3 linked regions of the Saccharomyces cerevisiae S288C genome follow. The gene in region 1 interacts genetically with each later gene. Each region holds a gene or a part of one and is shown in the gene's direction. Other genes may lie near its edges.

Region 1 (6,006 bases):
GTGGCAGTTCAATTTTGAATTTGACCCAAAGAAGGAAATCATGTCCACAGAATCGTTAGAATTACTCAGAAAATCAGGTATCAACTTCGAAAAACACGAAAATTTAGGCATCGATGTATTTGAATTTTCGCAGCTTCTAATGGACTCTGGTTTAATGATGGATGATTCTGTTACTTGGATCACATACCATGCGGCATATGATCTAGGTTTCCTGATCAACATTCTAATGAATGACTCCATGCCCAACAACAAGGAGGATTTCGAGTGGTGGGTCCATCAATACATGCCCAATTTCTACGACTTAAACCTGGTGTATAAAATAATCCAGGAGTTCAAGAACCCTCAATTGCAACAATCTTCACAACAGCAACAGCAGCAGCAATATTCACTAACCACACTTGCCGATGAGTTAGGGCTACCAAGATTCTCTATATTTACTACTACAGGCGGCCAGAGTCTATTGATGCTTCTATCCTTCTGCCAATTGAGCAAGCTGTCTATGCATAAGTTCCCAAACGGTACGGATTTCGCCAAGTACCAAGGTGTCATATACGGTATTGATGGGGACCAATGATCATTTATGTACTATATGTATACACAATTTTAAAAAAAAAAGTTTAAAAGCAACATCAGCTTATGATTGGACATGTAGTAATACAGATTGGTTCTTCGATGCAATAAGCACTCTTCCACAGGAGATTGATGCGTTATTCCCGTATAGTTATCGGTCACGTGCGCTGTAGTTTGTTTAACCATTTATTTTTTCTTGGAAATTTTTTCGTCCAAAGCAGCGAAAAACATCAGGTGGCGATTAATGAAAGAATGACATATTGCAAGCAGCATAACCGTCCATTCCAGGGATAAGAGGAAGTACAAGCTTCTTTATTAATAGTTCTAGAGTGACTACATTATTTCAGATTAGGCAATATTACCTTTTCGTACCGTTTTTTTTTCCTGTCCACTGTTACTATTGTTACGGTTAAAAGTTCTATCGCAACCGGCGGACGTTAAACTAAGTCATTTGTTTTTTATCCCATTACTGTTTCAAAAAAGAGCAATTCATACCTAATTTGTACAAAACGAAGACTGTACAAGTGGTAGTACTTGACATAGGATATTTTGCTTGAGTATTAGAAGAATACGAAAAACTTCTTCAGTTTTCTAGTTACCGTTAGTACCAAAACTATTCTAGAGGAAGAATAAACAGTAAGATATTGCTTTAATTTATTTATATCACCTACCACAAGCTTTCGTTTTTTTACTCTGTTTAATTCTTCAAGTTGTGTTTTTTCCCTACATTTTAATTCATTTTTGCCCATTTAATTACATTTTTTTTTTTGTTTTATTATTTTCGTTCAAACCTCATTTTCTTTCAAATATTCAATTAGTCAATCATTTTACAGAGAATCTGTTGAAAACTTATTTTACTGATACATCTTTATTTTTCGTTGATTTTTAAAGAGAAAAAGATCACGAAGAATACTACAAAACCATCGCATTTTTTTTTTCAAGTGTGTTATAGTTTTATTACCTTGTCACTAATAGTTGCATTTGAAGTCATACCCTCGAATAGAAGTATCAAATAAAAGAAAATGGGTGTTACCGTTCAAGACATATGTTTTGCCTTTTTGCAAAACTACTACGAAAGAATGAGGACCGACCCTTCCAAATTGGCATATTTTTATGCAAGTACAGCCGAGTTGACGCATACTAATTATCAGTCCAAGTCAACAAACGAAAAAGATGACGTTCTTCCAACGGTGAAAGTTACTGGACGTGAAAACATTAATAAGTTTTTTTCTAGAAATGATGCCAAAGTTAGGAGCTTGAAACTAAAATTAGATACTATAGATTTCCAGTACACTGGGCACTTGCACAAAAGCATTCTGATCATGGCCACGGGTGAAATGTTTTGGACAGGAACTCCGGTCTATAAGTTTTGTCAAACATTTATCCTGCTACCATCCAGCAATGGGTCTACGTTTGACATTACCAATGATATAATCAGATTTATTTCCAATTCATTCAAGCCTTATGTCTTAACAGATGCTTCTTTGTCACAATCTAACGAGGAGAACTCTGTCAGTGCAGTTGAAGAAGATAAAATAAGGCATGAGTCCGGAGTTGAAAAAGAAAAAGAAAAAGAAAAATCACCAGAAATATCGAAACCAAAGGCCAAAAAGGAAACGGTCAAAGACACAACTGCGCCAACTGAATCGTCAACTCAGGAAAAACCAATTGTCGATCATAGTCAACCTCGGGCTATACCCGTCACTAAAGAGTCCAAGATTCACACCGAAACGGTACCATCTAGTACTAAGGGCAACCACAAACAAGATGAGGTCTCTACAGAAGAGTTAGGAAACGTTACTAAACTAAATGAAAAATCTCACAAAGCCGAAAAGAAAGCTGCACCAATCAAGACAAAGGAAGGCTCTGTTGAGGCCATAAATGCTGTTAATAACTCTTCTTTGCCCAACGGTAAAGAAGTTAGTGATGAAAAACCGGTACCTGGGGGCGTAAAGGAAGCTGAAACTGAAATTAAACCAATAGAGCCACAGGTTTCCGACGCCAAAGAATCCGGCAATAACGCTTCAACACCTTCATCTTCTCCAGAGCCCGTTGCGAATCCACCAAAGATGACATGGGCCTCAAAGTTGATGAATGAAAACTCCGACAGAATTAGCAAAAATAATACCACGGTTGAATACATCAGACCTGAAACACTACCCAAGAAACCGACTGAAAGAAAATTTGAAATGGGGAATCGGAGGGACAACGCTAGTGCTAACAGCAAAAATAAGAAAAAACCAGTATTCAGCACCGTTAACAAGGACGGCTTTTATCCAATCTACATTAGAGGTACAAATGGCTTAAGAGAAGAAAAATTGAGAAGTGCCTTAGAAAAAGAATTCGGTAAAGTTATGAGGATAACAGCTGCAGACAATTTTGCCGTCGTCGACTTTGAAACTCAAAAGAGCCAAATCGATGCTTTAGAGAAGAAGAAAAAGTCAATTGATGGTATTGAAGTATGCTTAGAAAGAAAAACAGTAAAGAAGCCCACGAGCAATAATCCTCCTGGCATATTTACTAATGGAACACGTTCTCATAGAAAGCAACCCCTAAAAAGAAAGGACTAGTCAACCACAAGCCTTTTAAAAAGAAAAATTGAAAAAATAATAAAAAAATTTGAAAAAGAAAAAAAAAAATCATAAAACCAATCTTAAGAAAAACCAAAAAAAAACCGCTAATTAAAATCTAAAAAATTGAAACAAGAAACTGTATGATTAGTAACTAATATACTGGCGCGGAAGGGAATGAATGCCATTTAAATGAGATGATTATGAAAATATAGCGTAGAGTAGATGCGCGAAACCGAGGCAGAAAAGAAAAAGAGACAAGTTAAAAATTGAATATAATGATATATGGGCACTTTCTTCTGTGCTAGGAAACGGAGGTAGAAGGGGATAGCAAGCTTGAGCAGTAATTAAAAAAAAAAAAAAGCATATTGATAGATAGCTCATTTGTAGTTAACTGACGACATTTATGTACATAATTAAAATAGAAGAAAATTTTCAAAAAAAATTCTCCTGGCGATTGTTAGGGACAAGAAAACAAGCCATGTTGTAACCAATAAATGTTACACGCCTTCAAAATAAAAAAAAGATGGACAAAAGAGATAAATCTTTTGCTTTTTCTTACTCTGTGTTGTTGTCAACAAAGACAACAAACGTGTGAATAATCTACGGGATTCGTTTACCATAGGCTACCTAGAAATGGCATAGTCATGGAGATAAAGTCCCATGATATTGTAAACTAAATTGAAAGTAAAATCAAGGAAAAAACAAGTGAGATTGCAATAAGCAATCAAGAGAGAAAAGTTTTTTGACTGATTTTCGACTTGCTTTTATACCGATTTTGAAAAGTCGCGGGGAAAAGCTGGCAATTATTTTTCATTTTTTTTCATTAGGGCTAGAAGTTGCTAAGAGCAAACAAACTGTTACTTGAAAGGTTTTCCCACGTTGGTAGCTACATATGCAAGAGTCTTATGTATCGTATCTAAGTGCCACGTAGGGGATTCCCATCATTTGATGATTTCCAAATATAATACCTGTAGAGAGCGGTGGAGCAAAAGTCAAATTTTAATCGCAACTGCAGACAAGTCAAGCTGAGGAAATTGTGGATGATCTCTTGTTTCTTTTGATATTCACCACAACAGAAGTGAAGAGTGTGATTGCGGTTACTACTGACCACGAAGCAATGCGTTTAGTAGTGAAAAGAATTACTCATACTCTGGAATCGAAATTCCGTTGGAAAAATTCGCTTTGTAGTGAAAAATAAAGATGTCAATAAAGGGTATTGAGAATTTCCAATGGAATTATCAGCAATAGATGATAGAAAGTAGCACAGAATTTGGCTTAATGGTATATAAACCGTAGGGTCCTGGTAAAATTACATGGGAAGGATCCTTAGGCAGTAGGGAAAACTTATCAGGACAATTGAGTTATATTAACGTATTATATATTTTAATATGGGAAAGAACGTTTTGTTGCTAGGATCTGGTTTTGTTGCACAACCTGTTATCGACACATTGGCTGCTAATGATGACATCAATGTCACTGTCGCATGTAGAACATTAGCCAATGCGCAAGCATTGGCCAAGCCCTCTGGATCCAAGGCTATTTCATTGGATGTTACCGATGACAGTGCCTTAGACAAAGTTCTGGCTGATAACGATGTTGTCATCTCTTTGATTCCATACACCTTCCATCCAAATGTGGTAAAGAGCGCCATCAGAACAAAGACCGATGTCGTCACTTCCTCTTACATCTCACCTGCCTTAAGAGAATTGGAACCAGAAATCGTAAAGGCAGGTATTACAGTTATGAACGAAATTGGGTTGGATCCAGGTATCGACCACTTGTATGCGGTCAAGACTATTGATGAAGTTCACAGAGCTGGTGGTAAGCTAAAGTCATTCTTGTCATACTGTGGTGGTTTACCAGCTCCTGAAGACTCTGATAATCCATTAGGATACAAATTTTCATGGTCCTCCAGAGGTGTGCTACTGGCTTTAAGAAACTCTGCTAAATACTGGAAAGACGGAAAGATTGAAACTGTTTCTTCCGAAGACTTAATGGCCACTGCTAAGCCTTACTTCATCTACCCAGGTTATGCATTCGTTTGCTACCCAAATAGAGACTCTACCCTTTTCAAGGATCTTTATCATATTCCAGAAGCCGAAACGGTCATTAGAGGTACTTTGAGATATCAAGGTTTCCCAGAATTTGTTAAGGCTTTAGTTGACATGGGTATGTTGAAGGATGATGCTAACGAAATCTTCAGCAAGCCAATTGCCTGGAACGAAGCACTAAAACAATATTTAGGTGCCAAGTCTACTTCTAAAGAAGATTTGATTGCTTCCATTGACTCAAAGGCTACTTGGAAAGATGATGAAGATAGAGAAAGAATCCTTTCCGGGTTTGCTTGGTTAGGCTTGTTCTCTGACGCAAAGATCACACCAAGAGGTAATGCTTTAGACACTCTATGTGCACGTTTAGAAGAACTAATGCAATATGAAGACAATGAAAGAGATATGGTTGTACTACAACACAAATTCGGTATTGAATGGGCTGATGGAACTACCGAAACAAGAACATCCACTTTAGTTGACTATGGTAAGGTTGGTGGTTACAGTTCTATGGCCGCTACTGTTGGTTATCCAGTTGCCATTGCAACGAAATTCGTCTTAGATGGTACAATCAAGGGACCAGGCTTACTAGCGCCATACTCACCAGAGATTAATGATCCAATCATGAAAGAACTAAAGGACAAGTACGGCATCTATCTAAAGGAAAAGACAGTGGCTTAAATAAGAAGAAATGTATCAAAAGGTTTATCATACGTAACAGTAACGGCACTTTATAAATCTTTCTTTAGTATTACTTATACTTTCATAAGGAAACGTAAAAAAAAAAAAACCGGAAAGAGGGACAAAATGGACTA
Region 2 (5,620 bases), 660 kb from region 1:
ACGTGCTGAATTCCGCAACGTCAATATACTATTGGTTAAACTGGGGTCTATGGATTATGATCGGAATGGGTCTCACGGCCTTGCTTTTCGGCTGGAATACCCACTCTTCCAAGTTTAATCTGCTTTACGGCTGGCTTGGTGCCATTTTATTTACCGCGTATCTTTTCATCGATACGCAACTGATTTTTAGGAAAGTGTATCCTGATGAAGAAGTTAGATGCGCCATGATGCTTTACCTGGACATCGTCAATTTGTTTTTGTCTATTTTAAGGATTTTGGCCAACTCTAACGACGACAATTAAAAAAAGGGAAAAATCGAATTATTTACACGAATATATATATATTTCTTCTTCTTTTACATAGTTTATAATTCATACATAGTGGGAGCTGATCATAGTCTTCTCATCTTTGGTGATCTTACACCACCAAACTTCAATTTGGTGGCATCGCTGATCTTCACAACCTTTTTCACCACACTGGCCCCTTCCTTACCAACAAGAGCGGAAATAAAAGCAGCTCTGCCCTTCCCAAAGTCGTCCATCACCACTTCGATATCTTTGTTCAGCATGTTCTTTTCCTTAATCAATTCAAACATTCTACCACTGGTTTGAAATGCAGCTTCATACTCCCCTCTTGCTGCCTTCCTAAACCCTAAACAACCTGTAGATAGCGAAATCTTCACTTTCTGGGGTAAGTTCAAATAGTACAGCATTGTATCATTATACGTAAGTCCCTTATTCTTATGAAAGTTCTTGTCCTCCACAACGCTTGAAAATGTCAAATGCGTGTTATTTTTAGTAAACTTGCCATGTAGAATGTACTTAACTACTTCCTCTTTGGGCTTGTAAACCTCACTACTACCATTTGACTTTGTCAAAACTGAGTCAGAGGACGAAGGATACGAGATATTCGTGATATCCTCCTGATTTGAAATATCCTTAAATGAAAAAGGAACTCCTCTATTCGTGCCGGTAGAATTCCATCTTCTGATAGGCCTGACAAACTGCGTCCATCGGCAGCCTTTCCAAACAGGTTGTAACAGCATCACACGTAACTATAACAGTTCACACTGTCACTTTTTCTTTTCAGAAGAACCACTGCTTTCCACCTGATTTACTCTCATTTTGTCTTCCCTCTTTCCCAATTCATCGTTATTATGCCAAACAGTCACGAAGTACGAAACAAACACTCTCCGCTGCTATAGAAAGTTCCAATCTTAGGCTGAATAATGGAATACTAGTAGCTCAGTGATTATCATCATAATTGAAGCTATCATTAAAAAGCATGCAGCCATATTATGCAGGAATTATATGATCACACGTAGCTGTAGTGGCTTTCGAAAGCAGCATTCTTGCTTCCACTCAGTTCGTATGTAATGACAGTTCAGTGACCCACAAACAACACTGAAAAAAGCGACCTTCATATGCGGAAGAGGGCAGGCGTAACCTCCAAGGGAAAACGACATAGATTTCGCAAGTGAGTGCCATTGTGTCGTGTTAGTAGTGTGGGCAGGCCCGTAACGTGTTTATTGATAGGAGTTAAGCCCAAGACTACAGAGTTCTTTGCTTCATCTTTCAATTTTCTTTTTATTTTCCGAAACCCCCACTCCATCACATTCTAGTACATATGTCTACGGAAGAGCAGAATGGTGTTCCTCTGCAAAGGGGATCTGAATTCATTGCAGACGATGTAACCTCGAATAAATCGAACAACACGAGGCGGATGCTGGTGAAAGAGTACAGGAAAATCGGTAGAGGTGCCTTTGGGACTGTTGTACAAGCATATTTAACCCAGGATAAGAAAAACTGGTTGGGCCCCTTTGCAATTAAAAAAGTCCCTGCTCATACCGAGTACAAGTCCAGGGAATTACAGATTCTGAGGATTGCCGACCATCCAAATATCGTTAAATTGCAGTATTTCTTTACTCATTTGTCCCCGCAAGATAATAAAGTTTATCAACACCTTGCCATGGAATGCTTACCAGAAACTCTACAAATCGAGATTAATCGTTATGTGACAAACAAGCTAGAAATGCCATTAAAACATATCAGGCTATACACTTATCAGATTGCCCGCGGGATGCTTTATTTACACGGTCTTGGCGTTTGTCATCGTGATATCAAACCATCCAATGTTCTTGTAGACCCGGAAACCGGTGTCTTGAAAATCTGCGATTTTGGGTCTGCCAAAAAATTGGAACATAACCAGCCTTCAATTAGTTACATCTGTTCAAGATTTTATAGAGCGCCTGAATTGATCATTGGTTGTACCCAATATACCACCCAGATCGATATATGGGGGCTTGGTTGTGTCATGGGCGAGATGCTTATCGGCAAAGCCATATTTCAAGGTCAAGAACCCCTTCTACAGCTAAGGGAAATTGCTAAATTGTTAGGTCCTCCCGATAAAAGATTCATTTTCTTTTCGAATCCGGCCTACGATGGCCCTCTATTTTCCAAACCACTGTTCTCGGGCTCTTCGCAACAGAGGTTTGAGAAGTATTTTGGCCATTCCGGTCCAGATGGTATCGATCTTTTGATGAAAATATTGGTCTACGAACCACAACAAAGACTGTCTCCAAGAAGAATCCTTGCCCATCAGTTCTTTAATGAATTAAGGAATGATGACACTTTCTTACCAAGAGGTTTCACTGAACCAATCAAGCTACCAAATTTGTTTGATTTTAATGATTTTGAGTTACAAATTCTGGGTGAATTTGCTGATAAAATTAAACCTACGAAAGTTGCTGAATAATAATTTTCTATTAATTTGTTCTCTTTCCCCTCGGAAAATTTAATGAACAAAATACTATGATTTTTTTCACCTTTGATCCGCTGTTTATATTTCACTTGGAAAAGAAAAAAAATTTTTTGGAATAAAATATATTCAAATTTCCATTTGATATTATCATACACTTCTTTTATCCAGTCACTCCTTCAATTTCTTCTTTATTTTTTATTTTATGTTCCTAATTTTTTTTTATCTCTTTCCTATTTCCTGTTCTTTTATTAATCTGAAATATTATTATTACTTTAGTGTTAGTTTATAATTTTAATTAGGCCTACGTGGCTTGTAATAAATTGCCTCGCATGTTATCATTACTTATATAAAAGTATTATTGAAATACCGTCGTTATTTTTTGATATTTATGTGAGAAAAAAGTATTACCCGGAGGAGCCGCAAGGTCATCGGTTAAAATTTTTCAAATATATCAATCTCATCTCATCTAGTTAACAGAACCATTTCTTCAGAAAGCAAAATGCTCATAGTTTTCAACAACAGTGTGATATACCCTAAATTCAATGCCAAGAAAAAAGTCTGCCGCTAAAAGAGCTAGAGAACAAGCAAAAAAAGAAGCGGCCGTACCTGCAACGGATACTGCTACCATAAAAACTTCTGAAACCTCTGCGACGACAGTTAAGCCTGCAATCGAAGCAAGCAAATCGTACGTTCCTAGTGAAGATGAGGAAGAAGACGAAGAGGAAGAAGAGGAGGAAGATGATTACGGTGAATTGATTACTGATGAAGTGGAAAACGGTATTAATCAAGTGCTAGATGCCATCAAAAACAATAAGACGGACAAACTACTAGATCCTAAAGTCAAATTCTTCGAGGATCCCGAATCTGCTGCTGCCAAACTGGCCAATCGTGAGGGGAAGCATAAACCTATTTACCTAAAAGATTATCACCGTATGAACATACTTTCTGGTGATGCCTTAAAGGAGGATGACGAAGAATACGAACATGCAACTGTTGACGGAAAGCAATCTTTCGTCTCGCAACAACGTGAAGAGAAAACTCAGCTTTTAAATGAAATCAAGAGTGCCTTTAGCGATGAAGAAAATGAAGAGTCTAGCGGAGATGAAGACGATGGGTTTTTGAAGAAAAAGGAACCTTCTACGAAGAAGGAAGGAAAAAATTTACCGGATCCAACCGTAAATGAAGAAAATTTCTTGGAAGAATTTGTGAATCAACAGGCCTGGATTCCTAAGAAGGGGGACAAGGTGATTTCTCTTGACCTCAACAATAATGAAGAGGACGATGAAGAATTTGAAGATGCTGCAGAAAAATTTGAGAATGCCTACAATTTTAGGTACGAGGACCCAAACGCAGCTGAAATTATATCTTATGCACGTAGTCAAGCTACACTAAGAAGATCCGATGACTCTTCACGCAGAAGAAAAAGAGAGGAAAAAAGAAAAATTAAAGAGCAAATAAAAGCAGAGAAGGAGACAGCTCTTCAGAAAAAGAAGACTAAAAAATTGAATAAATTGACTGACATTTTAGAGCAACTAACAAAGGAATATGGTGCTGAAATTAATGCCGACATGGTGAAAAAAATCACTGACACCCTATTGAAGAACGATTTCAAAGAAGAAGAGTGGGATAACGTGGTAGCTGAATTATTTAATGAAGAATTTTATCAACAAGAGGGAAAGCCTACCTGGAACGAGGATGACGAAATAATGGGTGACTTTTATGCAGACGCCGATGGTGATGACCAAACAGAAGAAGGTGAAGTGGAAAAAGAACAAAAAGAAGAAGACGAGGAAGAAGGTCCAAAAAGAAAGAAGAGCAAGAAAGAAGAGAAACTGCAAAAGAAGAAAGAAAAGAGAAAGGTAAATGAATTAGTGGAAAATGCTTTGGAACAAAACAAACTAGCACTAATAGAGGAGGTTGAAAAAGAAGAAGAAGAAAGAAAGAGTAGAAGCCGTACAAAAGAGGAGCAAGATTTGAAGTTTCGTTACCGTGAAGTTTCTCCTGAGAGTTTCGGTTTGACCGCAAGAGAGATTTTCGCCGCCGATGATACTGATTTAAATGAATTTATTGGTTTGAAGAAATTTGCACCTTATCGTTCCAAGGAACTAAGAGCGAAGGATAAAAGGAAAGTGATGAAGGCAAGAAGATTAAGAGAGTGGAGGAAGAAAACTTTTAAGAACGAAAATGGGTTAGCTCCAGTCGAAGCAGAGGCAGGGGAGAAGGATGAGGACACCATACTGATACCTGTAGAGAAAGCCTCTAAAAGCAAACACAAGAGGGGGCACAGTCATAAACATAAAGGCCACCAGAAAAAGTAAACTAGGTGAAATATCGGCCCTGTATATTACGATACATAAGCTTACATAGTGATAATCTATCTCCGAATTTCCCTAAAAAAGAATGTCATTTTACGTATTAATATGTAATTTTATAATTTCAACATTTGTCATTTTTGTCCCTTTGAGTGGTCCATTTCAGGAAGTATGGAATCATCAACTGATATGGCCGTCAACGATCAATCAGTGAGTTTGTCATCAATGGACTCCCCTTCGCCTATACGGTCGGTGCCGGGTCCTACAATGAGCGGGATCCCGTTTGCGTTCATATCTAGAAAATTGTTTGTGGTGTGGCTTGATATAGCAGCTGTTGCTATCGCAGAAGTGTTGGAAGATGATCCGGGCACCATCGCTGGAACAGAAGGAATTGAAGCTGACGTGTTTGACGCTCCCTGCTGGGCGGGGACCCTTGGTGAAGGGCTGAAAAGATTATGCAGATAGTCTCCCATGTTGAAGTTGGGCGTCCTGAGTAAGTTAAAATTGGTACCGTTCAATTCTCTTGAAGGCGTGGTAGGTACGTTACT
Region 3 (7,666 bases), on another chromosome or scaffold:
GAAGATACAAGTTCAAATACCGATCCATTTCACGACTCCACTGAAGGAGACCTTTTAGATACCTCAAGTTCGGACGGAGGATTTAGGTCGCAAAACTATGTTCGAGATGACAGCATAAATAGTTTGGGAAACAATAAACAACCACTGAGGAAACCCCCTGGATTCTTCGATGAAGGATTTATGTGAGTCTTTACGATATACAAAAGTTCTGCTCCTATCATAAAAATTTTTAATTTTACAGGTTTTTCTCATTCTCCTTCTAACCTTCTAAATTCTGTTTTTGTCAGAAGTTTCCCAAGTTTTCTTTTTCATTAATAACGTTAAAACACTTTGTACCAGTTTGCTTAATATGAATTTTTTTAAAATAGATAGCTTTTGTTATCTTTGTTTCTATGTTGTAATATCCCAGTTTGTCATATTTTTAATACTCCTCGTGTAACAACAAATTAAAAAAAAATAAATACTTAAATTAATCAAGTTAAATAAACTAATCGAATCAAACAAACAATTTATTATAAAATTATGTTTTTTCATGAATAGGAATGTGTAAGTTGTTCAGTTCTTAAGAGGTATCTTATTTTTTAACATCTTTGAGATCTTCCTCCTCAAATATTTCCTTCTTGTAATATTTCCACTATTAGAGTTTCTATTATGTGCGGCTATCGCTCTTATTAGTGCATCATGAGGCCTTTCTATGTTTTGCGCAATCCGATTTATTGTACGGTCTAGTTTTTCATGAAAATTCGGGACATTTTCATTCCCAGAGCTATCATATTGCTCCATAGGATTTATTTCGTTTATCCAAGACATTTCTTTGTTTTTAAACTTTCTTAAGTTTTTATAGCTCTTCCAAAACTCCGAAGTTAAGGATTTATATTCCAATTCGTTTGATATGTTCTTATCTGAATGGATGAGCATCTCATATTTGGACATAGGAATACTTAACGAATGTAGATAAGGTACCACCTTGGTGATTCTTCCTTTAATTGACCAAGATATTTTGTAATCTCTAATATCATCAGAAATAATAGGCGTTAATGGAATAGTTTCAAAATTGTTCTGAGTGGGGGGATGCGTCTTTGAAGAATTGCAAACAAATACGAATCCAACAAATTTATTAGGAAAGTAAAGGGTTACATTACGCTGTGTATATTTCTGCACCCTTGCAAACTTGAAACATACTGAGCTGTTTTGGGAGATAGTATCATCCTCCTGGGCTGGAATGCATAGTGGTTCTGCCCAATCTAAATCCTTTTGAAAGGGTAGAATATGATTCCAAATTGGCTTTCCTCCTTTACAAAAGGTCACTTGAAGAAAATTATTGATTTGCAAGGGCGCTACCTGGTATTCATATTGTTTTTCAATTACAAAGCCTGTGTACAAAGTACTTTGTTTTTTGTATTGTTCGTACTCCTGCTTCAAGTTCTGTAACTTGTCACCTTTAAGAACATTTAAGAAGAACTCTGTCTGGAAATTTTGGTCTTCGAACTTACACACATCATGTCCAGGAAATGAACTTTTTCCTTGAACGAAAGTGCTCTTAAATAAGGTGTACGTTATAAAAAAGAAGAAAAATTCTAAAAAGTTGTACATTCATCCGAGGAGCACTTTGGATATTATAATCTATTTTTAGTTTTGTTGCTTTGTATTGAGCTGTATAAAAATCATTAGATCCACATTACTAATTATTGAATATGGACAATAATATCAAATATATTATTATCAAATTGATTATTTTGTGACGCGGCGTCAAATTTTAATCGCGTCTGACGAATGAGCGGGTAATAAACTGTCTTTTTTTCATGAATGAATCGAGCTGGCATTAGGAACATGTCGTGTAAGATTTGGGAGTAAATAACAGAAAGCTGCAATAAATGGTAGCTTGTAATGGTGAATTAAGACACCCAATCGAAACAATTATACGGACACGATGAAGTTGGATATAAAGGTATGTTACCAGAGCGCGTTTTGCCAATGCAATTGCGAACAAGCTCCGACAACTCCTATGATTAGGAAATGATCTCGTTCGCGAAGAATACAAAGCCTGCAAAAAGCAAACATTAAGATTAGTTACTAACAGGAAGATTTTTGAAATAAATGCATTTGCTCTTGGCATTTCCTTTATTTGACACTGTACATTTATGATAGAAAACTTTTAGTAATAGATCCGATCGAGTTAAAGGTATCGATTTCCATCCTACTGAGCCATGGGTTTTGACTACCTTGTACTCTGGTCGTGTTGAGCTTTGGAATTACGAAACACAAGTTGAAGTTAGATCCATCCAAGTTACGGAAACTCCTGTTAGAGCAGGTAAATTCATTGCAAGAAAGAATTGGATAATTGTTGGGAGTGATGATTTCAGGATCAGAGTCTTCAACTACAATACAGGTGAAAAAGTTGTTGATTTCGAAGCTCATCCAGACTATATCCGTTCCATTGCTGTACATCCAACAAAGCCTTATGTTTTATCCGGCAGTGATGATTTGACAGTCAAACTATGGAATTGGGAAAATAACTGGGCCTTAGAACAAACTTTTGAAGGTCACGAACACTTTGTCATGTGCGTCGCATTCAATCCAAAGGATCCTAGTACGTTTGCATCTGGGTGTTTGGACCGAACCGTTAAAGTTTGGTCATTGGGACAATCGACACCAAATTTCACGTTAACCACAGGACAAGAAAGAGGTGTGAATTATGTTGATTATTACCCGCTACCTGACAAGCCTTATATGATTACTGCGTCGGACGACTTAACCATCAAAATTTGGGATTACCAAACGAAGTCATGTGTAGCCACTCTAGAAGGTCACATGTCCAATGTTTCTTTTGCTGTTTTCCATCCAACTTTACCCATTATAATTTCTGGTTCCGAAGATGGCACTTTAAAGATATGGAATTCTTCCACTTACAAGGTAGAAAAGACTTTAAACGTTGGTTTAGAAAGAAGTTGGTGTATCGCTACCCATCCAACAGGACGTAAAAACTACATTGCATCCGGGTTTGATAATGGGTTTACCGTACTTTCCTTGGGAAATGATGAACCAACTTTATCACTTGACCCTGTCGGTAAGCTAGTATGGTCAGGTGGCAAAAATGCCGCAGCTTCAGACATTTTCACTGCCGTCATAAGAGGTAACGAAGAAGTTGAACAAGATGAACCATTATCTTTACAAACTAAGGAGCTGGGTTCCGTTGATGTTTTCCCTCAATCTTTAGCCCATTCTCCAAATGGTAGGTTTGTTACAGTTGTTGGGGATGGTGAATACGTTATTTATACGGCGTTGGCTTGGAGAAACAAAGCCTTCGGTAAATGTCAAGACTTTGTTTGGGGCCCCGACTCCAATAGTTATGCTTTAATTGATGAAACTGGGCAAATTAAATACTACAAAAACTTTAAAGAAGTCACATCATGGTCTGTCCCAATGCATTCTGCTATTGATAGATTATTTTCAGGTGCCTTGTTGGGTGTGAAGTCTGATGGCTTCGTCTATTTCTTCGATTGGGACAACGGTACGCTAGTTAGAAGAATTGATGTTAATGCTAAGGATGTCATTTGGTCCGATAACGGTGAGCTGGTGATGATTGTCAACACCAATAGTAATGGTGATGAAGCAAGTGGTTACACATTATTATTCAACAAGGATGCTTACCTTGAAGCAGCAAATAATGGCAATATCGACGATTCAGAAGGTGTTGATGAGGCTTTTGACGTATTGTATGAACTAAGTGAATCCATTACATCAGGCAAATGGGTTGGTGATGTCTTTATCTTTACCACAGCAACTAACAGGCTGAACTACTTCGTAGGTGGAAAGACTTATAATTTAGCCCATTACACAAAGGAAATGTATCTATTGGGCTATCTAGCACGTGATAATAAAGTATATTTAGCTGACAGAGAGGTCCATGTTTATGGTTACGAAATATCTCTAGAGGTGCTGGAGTTCCAAACATTGACTTTAAGAGGGGAAATTGAAGAAGCCATTGAAAATGTACTCCCAAATGTTGAGGGTAAGGACTCTTTAACAAAAATTGCTAGATTTCTGGAAGGTCAAGAGTATTATGAAGAAGCACTGAATATTTCCCCTGATCAAGATCAAAAATTTGAGCTAGCCTTAAAAGTCGGCCAACTTACGCTTGCTCGCGATTTGTTGACAGATGAAAGCGCCGAAATGAAATGGAGAGCCTTGGGTGATGCTTCCTTACAAAGGTTCAATTTTAAACTTGCTGTTGAAGCTTTCACAAATGCACATGATCTAGAATCTTTATTTCTATTGCACTCATCTTTTAATAACAAGGAGGGGTTGGTCACTTTAGCTAAAGATGCTGAAAGGGCCGGTAAATTCAATTTGGCTTTTAATGCATATTGGATCGCTGGCGATATACAAGGCGCTAAAGATCTTTTAATCAAGTCTCAAAGGTTTTCCGAAGCCGCTTTCCTTGGATCAACATACGGTTTAGGAGATGATGCAGTCAACGATATTGTTACAAAATGGAAGGAAAATTTGATACTCAACGGTAAGAATACTGTATCAGAAAGAGTTTGTGGGGCCGAAGGTTTACCAGGCTCTTCGAGTTCAGGAGATGCCCAACCACTCATTGACTTAGATTCCACTCCAGCCCCAGAACAAGCTGACGAAAACAAAGAAGCTGAAGTTGAGGACAGCGAGTTTAAAGAATCCAACTCAGAGGCAGTTGAAGCCGAAAAAAAAGAAGAGGAAGCTCCCCAGCAACAACAATCAGAACAACAGCCGGAGCAAGGAGAGGCAGTGCCGGAGCCTGTGGAAGAAGAGAGTTAACCACCTCATAGAAAGACAAATAAAGAACTAATCAACGAATGAGAAAACATCTTTAATGGATGGTAAACATATATATATACAGATGTACACTTTTTATTTTTATTGCGATAGGTGTGAAAATGAACGTGACTTGAAACTTTGCGCGCAAACAAATCATATTATGAATTACTAAACACGTCCAGTTTATCTACATTTCTTTTCTTCTTTAATCCGATATAATAGGTCTCCTTTGATTCGTCTCTAGAAGCGTCAGGCTTGAACTTATGAACGTTAGTGAAAACTGCCTGCATTCTTTTTTTAAATAGGTTTTCTTCTTCGCCGGTGTATAGTTTACAAACAAACGAACCTAATGGCCGTAATAAATCTATAGCCGTAACTAAGGCTGCGTCACATAAATCAATAGATTGGTAATGGTCTCTTATACTGACACCAGATGTATTAGCCATCCTAAAATAAGCTTGATTAGTAATGTTGTTCCAAAAACCGGTTGTTTGGGGCCAGGGTTCATACATATCACTTATAATCACATCAACTGGGAATTTTTCTCGTTCTATTAGGGTACTATTCGTATTCGGAGTTTCATAAATGTCATCAGAGGTGAAAATTTCACGGTACAATTCAGTATCTTTCACATGGGTTAGCTCCTCCTCGAGCATGTTCTGGAAATAGCCATGGTCCTTATGCAAATCATCGTGTCTGTTCAATTGGAAATGCTTAGAAAAAAAGAGCCGTATAAGATCATGAGTTCTTTTGGCCAATATATTAGCTTGAATAGAGTTCACACCATGCGGAGGTTCACAAGGGAGAATGTCAACGCCCAGTATCATTGAATTAGGTGAACTTCTTTGCCGTGCTACTTGGGACCAAGCCCCAGGGGCATACCCAAGATCTAGAATTCTCTGATCGGTCCTGTTTTTGCTAAAAAGCCGATATTTATCATCAATCTGCATAAGCTTGAATGCGGCTCTAGACCTCAGATTTTGGACCTTGGCCTCTTTTGTGTAGGGATCCTTCAGTTGTCTATTCAGCCATCTGTTTTGTGAGTTAGAATTATACCGTACATGTATTCGACCTAAAGAAGACGATATTATACTCCTGATACGATTGTACACTAAAATCATGCTGTAATTTTCCCGTCAGTATGTGTAGTCATTACTTCAAACCTCGGATAAGCCCATCTTGATGGCTACGACTTCCATCTATATCAGAGGCTGACATTTTTCTCTCATTGACGGAGACGCCCTTTAACCGGACCTGATCATTTTTAAAAGAACGCCAGTAAAAGAGATCTTACAAATACCAGAGAAACGGTATTGAACCTTCTTCTTTGATTAGAACAAATTACTTGATCTTCTTTTTTAAAAAAGAACTGAAAAATCAAAAACGATACATGAAGATGGTATGTAAGTTAGCTAAATAACTTGCTTAATTTCAAGAAAGGGGACTGTAAAAAATTCAGTTTACTCTACCATTATCTCCATTAACATATCAACTTTTAGATCGCAATGAAGAAGACTGCGTTCATAAACCTTACCTCATAAGGCCAAACAGCTATCAGCTTTTGGCAAAAGTTGAATACGGACATTTTTGAACCCATACATCTTTCAATATGCACGGGTGCAACCTCAAATATTTAAAGTTTTTTTTTCCTGAAACTTTTTTTTCGCACACAATAATGCCATAGACATCTTTTGGCCTCAGATTGGAAAGTCCGAGGAAGAAAGACGCAATCAATGGGAAGAGTGTTGTATTTGGATTAAGATATGTAAGTACATCTTCGCAGCACTTCTTGAGCATTACGTTATTTGGTAACCTCTTGAAGTTTCAGGAAAGACTCCATAGAACTAGTCGCAAGCCTCACGGACCACCAAATACTTTGGAAGACTAATTACATATCATAAAATGTCTAAGATCACCTCTTCTCAAGTCAGAGAACACGTCAAGGAATTGTTGAAGTATTCCAACGAAACCAAGAAGAGAAACTTCTTGGAAACCGTCGAACTACAAGTCGGTTTGAAGAACTATGACCCTCAAAGAGACAAGCGTTTCTCTGGTTCTTTGAAGTTGCCAAACTGTCCAAGACCAAACATGTCCATCTGTATCTTCGGTGATGCTTTCGATGTTGACAGAGCTAAGTCTTGCGGTGTTGACGCTATGTCCGTCGATGACTTGAAGAAGTTGAACAAGAACAAGAAGTTAATCAAGAAGTTGTCTAAGAAGTACAACGCTTTCATTGCTTCCGAAGTTTTGATCAAGCAAGTTCCAAGACTATTGGGTCCTCAATTGTCCAAGGCTGGTAAGTTCCCAACCCCAGTTTCTCACAACGATGACTTGTACGGTAAGGTCACTGATGTCAGATCTACCATCAAGTTCCAATTGAAGAAGGTCTTGTGTTTGGCTGTTGCCGTTGGTAACGTTGAAATGGAAGAAGACGTTTTGGTTAACCAAATCTTGATGTCTGTTAACTTCTTTGTTTCTTTGTTGAAGAAGAACTGGCAAAATGTTGGTTCCTTGGTTGTTAAGTCCTCCATGGGTCCAGCTTTCAGATTGTACTAATCACTTCCGAGCGATTAATACATATCTCCATCTTTTTAAATACCTTTTTTAATACGTATGACTCTAAGTAGTAAAAGTATTATGCATAGTTTTAGCCAGATATTTTTGGGCCCGGAATATATCTTTTCGGGAAGCTCGGAGTATATTGCACCGATCCGATTCTTACTCCATATCATGCCATTTTTCTTTCCTTTCTCAGCGATGTTTTGTAGGAAATCACTTAGAACTTGCCTTACTTTAAAAGCATGTTGAGTGAATTTCACAGATCGATATGCTTTGGTGTTCAATCAGTTCAACCATACCTGCTATT

Evidence for each region.
Region 2: mutations in BRE5 (region 1) and MCK1 together harm fitness more than expected from each alone (negative genetic interaction), as found in Saccharomyces cerevisiae (6 studies listed by BioGRID).
Region 3: mutations in BRE5 (region 1) and SEC27 together harm fitness more than expected from each alone (negative genetic interaction), as found in Saccharomyces cerevisiae (5 studies listed by BioGRID).

Annotation. Positions count from the first base shown.
Region 1 is NC_001146.8:713,914-719,919, reverse strand, and holds BRE5 (Bre5p), read left to right. Parts: upstream 1-1,592; coding exon 1,593-3,140; downstream 3,141-6,006. Other genes in the region: CCR4-NOT core DEDD family RNase subunit POP2, read left to right, coding at 1-574; LYS9 (saccharopine dehydrogenase (NADP+, L-glutamate-forming)), read left to right, coding at 4,532-5,872. UniProt on the Saccharomyces cerevisiae protein: Has a role in de-ubiquitination. In conjunction with UBP3, cleaves ubiquitin, leading to the subsequent mono-ubiquitination of sec23.
Region 2 is NC_001146.8:53,580-59,199, reverse strand, and holds MCK1 (serine/threonine/tyrosine protein kinase MCK1), read left to right. Parts: upstream 1-1,626; coding exon 1,627-2,754; downstream 2,755-5,620. Other genes in the region: BXI1 (Bxi1p), read left to right, coding at 1-302; mitochondrial 37S ribosomal protein uS11m MRPS18, read right to left, coding at 392-1,045; KRI1 (Kri1p), read left to right, coding at 3,303-5,078; STB1 (Stb1p), read right to left, coding at 5,276-5,620. UniProt on the Saccharomyces cerevisiae protein: May be an autophosphorylating tyrosine kinase, a bifunctional (serine/tyrosine-specific) protein kinase, or a serine kinase that is a substrate for an associated tyrosine kinase.
Region 3 is NC_001139.9:247,939-255,604, forward strand, and holds SEC27 (coatomer subunit beta'), read left to right. Parts: upstream 1-1,930; coding exon 1,931-1,948; intron 1,949-2,148; coding exon 2,149-4,800; downstream 4,801-7,666. Other genes in the region: FLC3 (putative flavin adenine dinucleotide transporter), read left to right, coding at 1-186; YGL138C (uncharacterized protein), read right to left, coding at 556-1,593; MRM2 (21S rRNA (uridine2791-2'-O) methyltransferase), read right to left, coding at 4,959-5,921; 60S ribosomal protein uL1 RPL1B, read left to right, coding at 6,703-7,356. UniProt on the Saccharomyces cerevisiae protein: The coatomer is a cytosolic protein complex that binds to dilysine motifs and reversibly associates with Golgi non-clathrin-coated vesicles, which further mediate biosynthetic protein transport from the ER, via the Golgi up to the trans Golgi network.